Linked DNA regions of Bombyx mori. The protein of the gene in region 2 binds, or shares a complex with, the protein of the main gene of each other region. Links are inferred from orthologs where the notes say so. Each region holds a gene or a part of one and is shown on either strand. Other genes may lie near its edges.

Evidence for each region.
Region 1: ragulator complex protein LAMTOR5 (region 2) and roadblock domain-containing protein 3 share a complex: the UniProt entries of both Homo sapiens proteins name them as parts of the ragulator complex. The link is inferred for Bombyx mori from reciprocal best matches to the Homo sapiens genes LAMTOR5 and LAMTOR2.

The regions. Positions count from the first base shown.
Region 1 is NC_085123.1:7,142,572-7,146,443, forward strand, and holds roadblock domain-containing protein 3, read right to left. Parts: upstream 2,475-3,872; 5' UTR 2,393-2,474; exon of another isoform or gene 2,392-2,392; intron 1,892-2,391; 5' UTR 1,804-1,891; coding exon 1,736-1,803; intron 1,659-1,735; coding exon 1,349-1,658; 3' UTR 640-1,348; downstream 1-639. UniProt on the Homo sapiens protein: As part of the Ragulator complex it is involved in amino acid sensing and activation of mTORC1, a signaling complex promoting cell growth in response to growth factors, energy levels, and amino acids.
Region 2 is NC_085110.1:1,232,964-1,237,295, reverse strand, and holds ragulator complex protein LAMTOR5, read right to left. Parts: upstream 2,858-4,332; 5' UTR 2,753-2,857; coding exon 2,480-2,752; 3' UTR 2,477-2,479; intron 1,591-2,476; exon of another isoform or gene 1,130-1,590; 3' UTR 8-1,129; downstream 1-7. UniProt on the Homo sapiens protein: As part of the Ragulator complex it is involved in amino acid sensing and activation of mTORC1, a signaling complex promoting cell growth in response to growth factors, energy levels, and amino acids.

The sequences.
Region 1 (3,872 bases), on a different chromosome or scaffold from region 2:
AAAAATATTTATAAAAATATTGCTTTCATTTTCTGTATGCTTAATGGCAATTTCACAGGTAAATTACCTATTATTTATTTGGTATTTATGACTTTATAAGTATTATTATATTTTATAAGTATATATTAAGAATATTTTAATATTTAACGGCCGTCTGGTGTAGTGGTAAGTGACATGGTCACTACACAAGGGGGTCGCGGGTTCGAATCCCGCCAAGGGAAGATATTTGTATGATAAATATAAATGTCTTTTCCAGGGTTATGGATGTGTATTAAGTATATGTATGTGTATAATAAAAATCTTACATTTATTTCCGTTATCTGGTACCTGTAACACAAGTTCTTTACGAACTTATCACGGGACCAGTTAACGTGGCGTGATAGTTAGTAAATATTTATTTATTTATTTATTTATAAGCTAATGATCAGACGAGACTGCTTGTAACAAGGGAATATTTGTACTGGAATTCCTGGTAAGAAACAATTAACAAATTTCGATTTTTTATATATAAACCATCTATCTATCCTAGGTTACAATGATACAATGTGCATATGAGGAGCAACTGTATGATTTACATAAAGGATACTCCTGGCTATGCTCAGCTCTATGCTGTCACTATTAAACATTCAATACAAACTTAAAGAAGAATAGATTTATACTGGGTCATCATTAATTGTGATACTACAAAATATTCTGATTAAAGTTTATAAAATATTAATGACTAAATGTACATCAACTTATAGGGGTTTTAGCATTAACCATTTAGTTGAACTTTACTTTTTCTATTTTGTTCCACTATCAAATTGACAAAGAAGCCATGCAAACTGACATATGGACATGTTAATTAGATTTACAGTAGTAACAATGTCTGACATTAAAATGAAAAGACATTTTTACAGTACATTAATTTTTCCAATATTAATATATTGTATATATTATCTACCCATGCAGGTTCCACCATACTGACAGTTATTATGAAAATCTATTAATTTTGAATGTTTTATTTTATTTCTAAGCTTTTTTTTAATGTGAAAGTTTATTGTGAACCTAGATATTTAATAATATGTTTATACCTGTCCCAGAAAATACAGCATAGTTGCATAGCACACGTATATGAGGCATCTTAACTATTATTATTCAAATGAATCCATTAAGCTACTATCTCAGTAAATCCTTTTATTATCAAACATGGCATACAAATCAGGAATCAAATTTGCAATTATCATGTTTTATATAATAGCTATAAAATTTAAAGATTCAAATAACTGAATAAAGTATTTTAGTAACCAAGTAAAGTATTTTAGTGACTTCTCATATTATTTTGCTCATAATTATTTAAAATTACATATTATGAACTTGCAACTTGCTTCAAAGGACCTTCTAGATACTGAGCAATAGCATTGATTTTTTCTTTCAGAATGCCAAAACCAACAGCCTCATTCGCATAAAGACACAGTAATAAATTGGCAACTTGTGTGATTGCAATTTTCCCATTTAAACAATCTACTAGTATTAAATGTAGTCCATCTTCTTTAAAAACATTTCTGCCGTGTTTTTCATAAGCTGACCAGACATTACTAGCGATTGCAGCAGTGACTCTAGCATCCTTATCATTGTAACCAGAATAAGCTAGAAGTGCACCTTGATGATTCAACAACCTAAAATCAAGAAGCACCTGTAATTTTGATGTTTAGTGTCTAATAAAATATGTAACCAAACTAAATGTTTTCATTACAAAGTGTTTTCTACTCCTCCTGTATTAGCTTGACTTAAAACTTCTGTTAATGCTTTCGGTTTTAGCATTTTGAAGGCTTGGTGCTGTTGGATTTACATGAAAATGGCTAAGTACGAAGTTAAACTTGAATCGTTTTCAAGTGTTGATTTGTTATTATTTTTTTTTTTTTTTTTTTTTTTTTTTTATTGCCTTTGTAGGCAGACGGGCATACGGCCCACCTGATGGTGAGTGGTTACCGTCGCCCATGGACTTCAGCAATGCCAGGGGCAGAGCCAAGCCGCTGCCTACCGCTTAATACTCTCCACAAGCCTCGTTTGAAGAAGGACATGTCATAGCGCTCGGGAAACACCGAGGAGGGGAGCTCATTCCATAGCCGGATGGTACGTGGCAAAAAAGATCTCTGGAAACGCACTGTGGATGACCGCAGTGGCTCCAGGTAGTATGGATGAACTCTACTCCGGTGGCGGGCGGTGCGATGGTAAAAACGAGATGTTGGTATCATCTCGAACAATTCCTCAGAGCACTCCCCATGGAACATACGGTATAAAATACAGAGGGAACCGAAGTCCCTCCGCAGACCCAGAGGCTCCAAACGATCCGAGAGAATGGGATTATCGACAATCCGAACGGCCCTCCTCTGTATGGAGTCAAATGGAACTTAATTTTCGACGTCAACGATCTTAAATTTTTAGGATAATTTCTATTTTCCACTTTTACGTAGGATTTGACAACTATCAAAATACCGTCGCCGTCAAATATATTAAGAGTATAATCTATGGTCGCCGTCCGTGTCTCAATGTGTGTATTATCTATGCATCCGTGACAATCCGTGTAATCCACTGAACTTGAACTTTTTGGCGGGAACGCGAGGAGTGAAGTTGTGTGATTTGTTTTATTTTGTCTATTTAGTGTTTCTTCGGGTTTAAATATTTATTATAATTAATTAAGCAAATTACCACCCTTAAGTTGGCCCCTCTTATTGGATATCTTTATTTTTATCGCTCAGATTAGTTAGTTTTTATCAATTATCGTTTGTTCAACGACTATTGGTAATTGTTCGATCATAAAAACAATTAAATTCCCAATTATTAATTATTTTATATCTAATAAGCAAACCATCACCTCACGCCTACATTGCGCATGCGCCGGTTTTGTCAGTCAGCTGGCAATGGCCCTATTTACTAGCGTTTTGTTAACAAGTGCGTTTTAAATTAGATATACTCTATAGAGTATATCTAATTTATTGCCCTTGTAGGCAGACGAGCATACGGCCCACCTGATGGTGAGTGGTTACCGTCGCCCATGGACTTCAGCAATGCCAGGGGCAGAGCCAAGCCGCTGCCTACCGTTTAATACTCTCCACAAGCCTCGTTTGAAGAAGGACATAATATTAAGGGATCATATCTCTTATAAGGTTTGGCACTCTTTAATACGTACACGCGAGGCATATCTAAAAATAGAAAACAATACGTAACTGATAATATAAATATTTACCAAATAATAAAACAACACATTGATAAGTTTGAATAAAAGTTCTAGACAAAAACATCATGAATAAACCAGATTTTTACCAACAAATTTAAAAAATATTGTTTTAACTACATAGACAACCCTACAAACCTGTACCTATTTGTACTTAGGTCGTTTCCGTTTCTCTTATTCTCATCCCAATTGACCCCTATTTCGTTGTTATTTGTACCTAAGACGTCCCCAATATCCCCAAAAACAACAGATTTTTACATGTATTTTTATTTTATCAAATACATTAAATCCAATAATAACTGAGACTTACCTTTAATATATATGATGGTTCAAACACTAAATAACGTTTATAAATCACAGTCGTCTTCTATTATAATCAAATAAATAAAAGAGAGCAAAGTTTCTAGCACTGAAATAATTACCACCACAGAAAGTTAATTTGAAACGCGATTTTTTATAAGTTAGCAGCTATTATCATGCATATTCAGAGTTGTTTTGTGAACTTTCAACATTCTACTATTAAACTACAAAAAATGGAAGATTTTGCAATGAATATAAAACTAATATTGAGCGTCGAAAGAGTTTCCTGTTTTTTTCCCAATTCGCCTCTCAATCCCTAATCGCCCCATTTTACGGTACTTAATTTCAATAGTAG
Region 2 (4,332 bases):
ATAATCATTTCACATAAACCATATATTATAATATTTGTAAACCTCATATATAAAATAACAAGAGATACTTAACATTAAAATAATTGTTTCGTTTCTATAGTCTTTTAAAAGGCTATCCACAGTCTAAGTAACTGTTTGTCCTGTGGAACATTTAAGTTAATAAAGTGTAGGGTGCCTAACATCAAATCTTACAATAAATAGTCCATAACTAAATGATAAGTGTTATAGGTAGTTTTCCAATTACAGAGCATAATGCGACTCAGTGAAGCACAATGCCAAATTATGCTGAAGATTAATTGGAAAGTCAATTAGTTTTCAAATGCATCAGCAGAGTGCGCTAAGTTAGCACAGTTTTATTTAATATTGATTATTTCTAAGAAACTACGACGAAACGAAAGCCTTACATTTTTTTTCAACATTAAATAATATTACTAACGATAATATAAACAAAATTTCGATCAATGCCAACTTAAAGAAAAAACACTTGTCAATTTATTCTGTCACTGAGTTGGTACCGATTGCGAGTATCAGCAGTACTTTTGAGAGTGCTCGATTGTGCGAAGCGTTGCTGTAGTTGGAACATTCAACGTTGAGCATTATGCTGCATAATGCGCTCTTGTGCTGTAATTGAAAAACTACCAAAATGATCATTAATAATATTTTCTTACAGTAGAACCACTCCCCATACTTTTCCTTACTTAAACTTAATTTTTATATTAAAACTTTTAAAATAAGAACGAAATTATGATCCTATAAGAACAAACTTTCCACATCTAACAAATATTTTTTACTTTTTAGTATTTTTTAGCGAGCTGAAAAAGAAAGTTTTTAATTTAAACAATCATTTAGTTAACTAAAGCAACTTAACTTATAACAAAAAATAATTAATGCAAGATTAAACAGTAAAAGTACTTAAATTATGTTTACAACTCAAAAACCAAAGAAAAACATACTATGTTATATATTATTTGAGAATAATCCTGAAGATCCTGGTCAGTCCAATGGGATACTCTTATTATATTATTCTATTATTCTGGGCGGTCCTTTATAAGTGTGCTAAATTTCAATTATATAATGTTTCGAGGTGGGTTGAAATAATGTTCAAAGATTCCAATGCATACAGGCAAAGCTAATAAACAAGCAAATTAAAAAACCAGTCATTATTATTATTACATGAAGAAACTAGAGAATTTATGTGGTTACGAAAAACTTATACTTGGAATACAATATTATGTTAATCATAATTGTTAAACTTTTACTTAGTATGGTGGTAAGCCATTACAATAATTTAGCTGTTAATATTTATTCTCTTTAAAATAACATTATACAATGTTTATGTGGTTTTACATTTTATGATTGGTAGGTAATACTTTAGATAAATTTTGAAATTAAAATCTAGATAAAGAAGTATTCAAATTTATGTTATTTTGGGGGTCAGTTAAAAGTAAATAATAATTTTAATTTATTTCCTATCACTAGACATAACCTCCTGAGAGATGTTAAGTTAACATACTTTTGGCTGAATAATACACGATCTTCTGGATAGCTTGCTTACCAGAATAGTTCAATGTTGTTTTAAATTTTATTTTACTGAAAAACAAATAATAAACTTTATTTAACTGTAAATGAAACTTAAATAATTACTAATAATGTATGTGTGAATAATGTATGTGAGTATGTGAATGCTATCACCCACCATCTTGAGACTTCATCCTTATTATTCTTTTCATGAATGGATTTATTTTCAAGAACTTGCATTATAATCATTACTAGCGACCCGCCCTCGCTTCGCTTCGGAAACATTAAAACACACAGAAACCAAAAAAAAAAATAAAAAAAAATAAAAAAAAGTAGCCTATGTTCATCAGGGACAATGTCGGCTTCTAATGGAAAAAGAATTTTTCAAATCGGTCCAGTAGTTTCGGAGCCTATTCGAAACAAACAAACAAACAAATCTTTCCTCTTTATAATATTAGTATAGATTAATAATAATAGAAAAAATAATAGAATAATAATAGAAGTTTTTATATAATATATGATATTATATAAAAATAAAAAATACCCTCGGTGTGGATTGGGAGAGGCCTATGTCCAGCAGTGGACTGATGATGGGCTGATGATGATGATGATGATGAAGCAGTAAAGTTTCAGTTACTCCCATAACTTGTGTGTTCATAGTGCGTAATGTAATTTTCTATATAACAAAAATCTCATTATAAGGTTTTGGGGAATTTATCTTTTCGTGTTAGTGTGGAATCGTGTTGTAAAATACCGTGTTATAGTAGGGCTAGCTACCTGTACATTAAAATATTGTTATTACATTTCACTTATGTCATAACTTACAAGTAATTTCATGTTCCATAGAAAACTATGTTGTGAAGTAACAGCAAAGAGTTCATTTAAGTTCAAGGCCGTTCATACATATCATGATAAACAATTATTACATTTTCAATAAATAAATAAAATATACAAGTACCTTCTATGTTTTCAATTTAAAAATCGCTCCGGTGATCGTGCCATGTCGTTGTATGAGGCACTGTTTTTTATCAGTTTCAAGGCAAACTGTGGGCGGTTTCATGTTCGGTTGTATTTTACAGGCCTGTTCTGATATGGCAACGATTATCCCTGCAGAGTCTACGTGCGCGGCGCCTTTTGATGCCAAGCATAGTCCTTGTGGGTCCGCGATAAGACAGCCATTGACATTAGGCATAGACATGATTTCTTCTACGACTTTGTCTAGATCGTTTTCCATTTTTATTAAACAAATTTATATTAATTTATAAAAAACACGGTCAAAGTCGACTGTCGACTGTCTTTTGGAAACAAAACAAAAGATTCTTTGTTGACTTTTGACATAGCATCAGCACTGACAGATGTATTTTTTTAAAGTCTAGTTGGACAAGCAAATAAAGCCGTGTATAGAACTAAGTTTTTTGTTAGACTGAGCCGTGTTTGTGTTACGATAGCGAAATGGTACAAATAATTGAAAATAAATTTTTTCTCCTACCGACGCCGAAAGTTCGGTTTTCGTCCCGCTATACAGGGAAGAAAGTGTAACTTTTCCTCCTGCTGTACAGGAAAGAAAGTGTAACTTTTTCTCCCTGGGTTAAGTGTGCATGCGTCTACGTCTGTCTACGTCTGCTCTCACGCATCTAAAATTCTCCGCCATTGTTGTGCTCGGGTAATTTGCAATATTTAGTGTTTAGTGTAAAAGTAAAATAAACAAAAGTCAATAAAATTTAATAGTGAAGTATTAAACAAAGATGAATTCATCAGACAGTTCTTATTCAATTGGTAGTAGTTTTTTTAAAAATTGACCATAAAGATTTACATTACGACACAAAACTGCCAGCAGTAGAACCATCAGAGGACCACGTGCACTGGAACCGGAAGAAAGGACATACTTATGCGATGCCGTGGAGAAAAAACTAGCCCTAGAACCTCCTACAGGCGATGCTAACACTCAATGGGATACCGTAAAATCTCATCTCTGCGAATCCCTTGAAGAAATCAAGGCTTCCCGCAGAGAGGGAAATGCAAATCGGAAAAAAAACCAAAGTATGGATTTCGGAGCAAACAAGAGAAGCTTATAAGCAAGAGGAAAGACATCAAAGTGAAGGGATTACAGAATGATGACGTCAGGAAGACTTATTCTGACCTTTGCAAGGAAATTAAAAAAGCGTGCCGCCGAGATAAAAGCTGTTTCATTGGAGACATTTACACTGATATCGAAAAACATTCACAAAAATACCAACCGTCTTATTTGTTCAAGAAAGTTCGCCTTTTGTCTCGGAAATTTAAACCAAGATCCTGGATAATTGAAGATCCCAATGGCAAGCCTATCACTGATTTAAATGCCGTTGTCGAAATGTGGCGTAAATACTGTGAAGGATTATATGATCAGCCTCAGTCAATGAGTACACAACTCCCAGTCTGGGACGACATAACCTTAGAACCTTCAATAATACGATCAGAAGTAACAGAAGCCATCTCTCGACTAAAGAGCAATAAAGCTCCAGGACCGGATCACATCACGGCAGAAATAATTAAATCGCTGGGAGATAGGGGTGTGAATGCAGTGCATAGCATCTGCAATTACGTATGGCAACATGGCGAGTGGCCCAATAACTGGACTGAGTTGATCATTTTGCCGCTTCATAAAAAAGGGTCAACTAGGAAGTGCGACAATAACCGCACGCTAGCCCTTGTCTCACATTGCAGCAAAGTTCTACTGTACATTCTCAACACCCGCTTGCGCCACTTCCTAGATTGGCAAATCCCCAAGAGCAAGCCGGTTTCGTTAAAGGGAAGGGAACACGTGAACAAATCCTC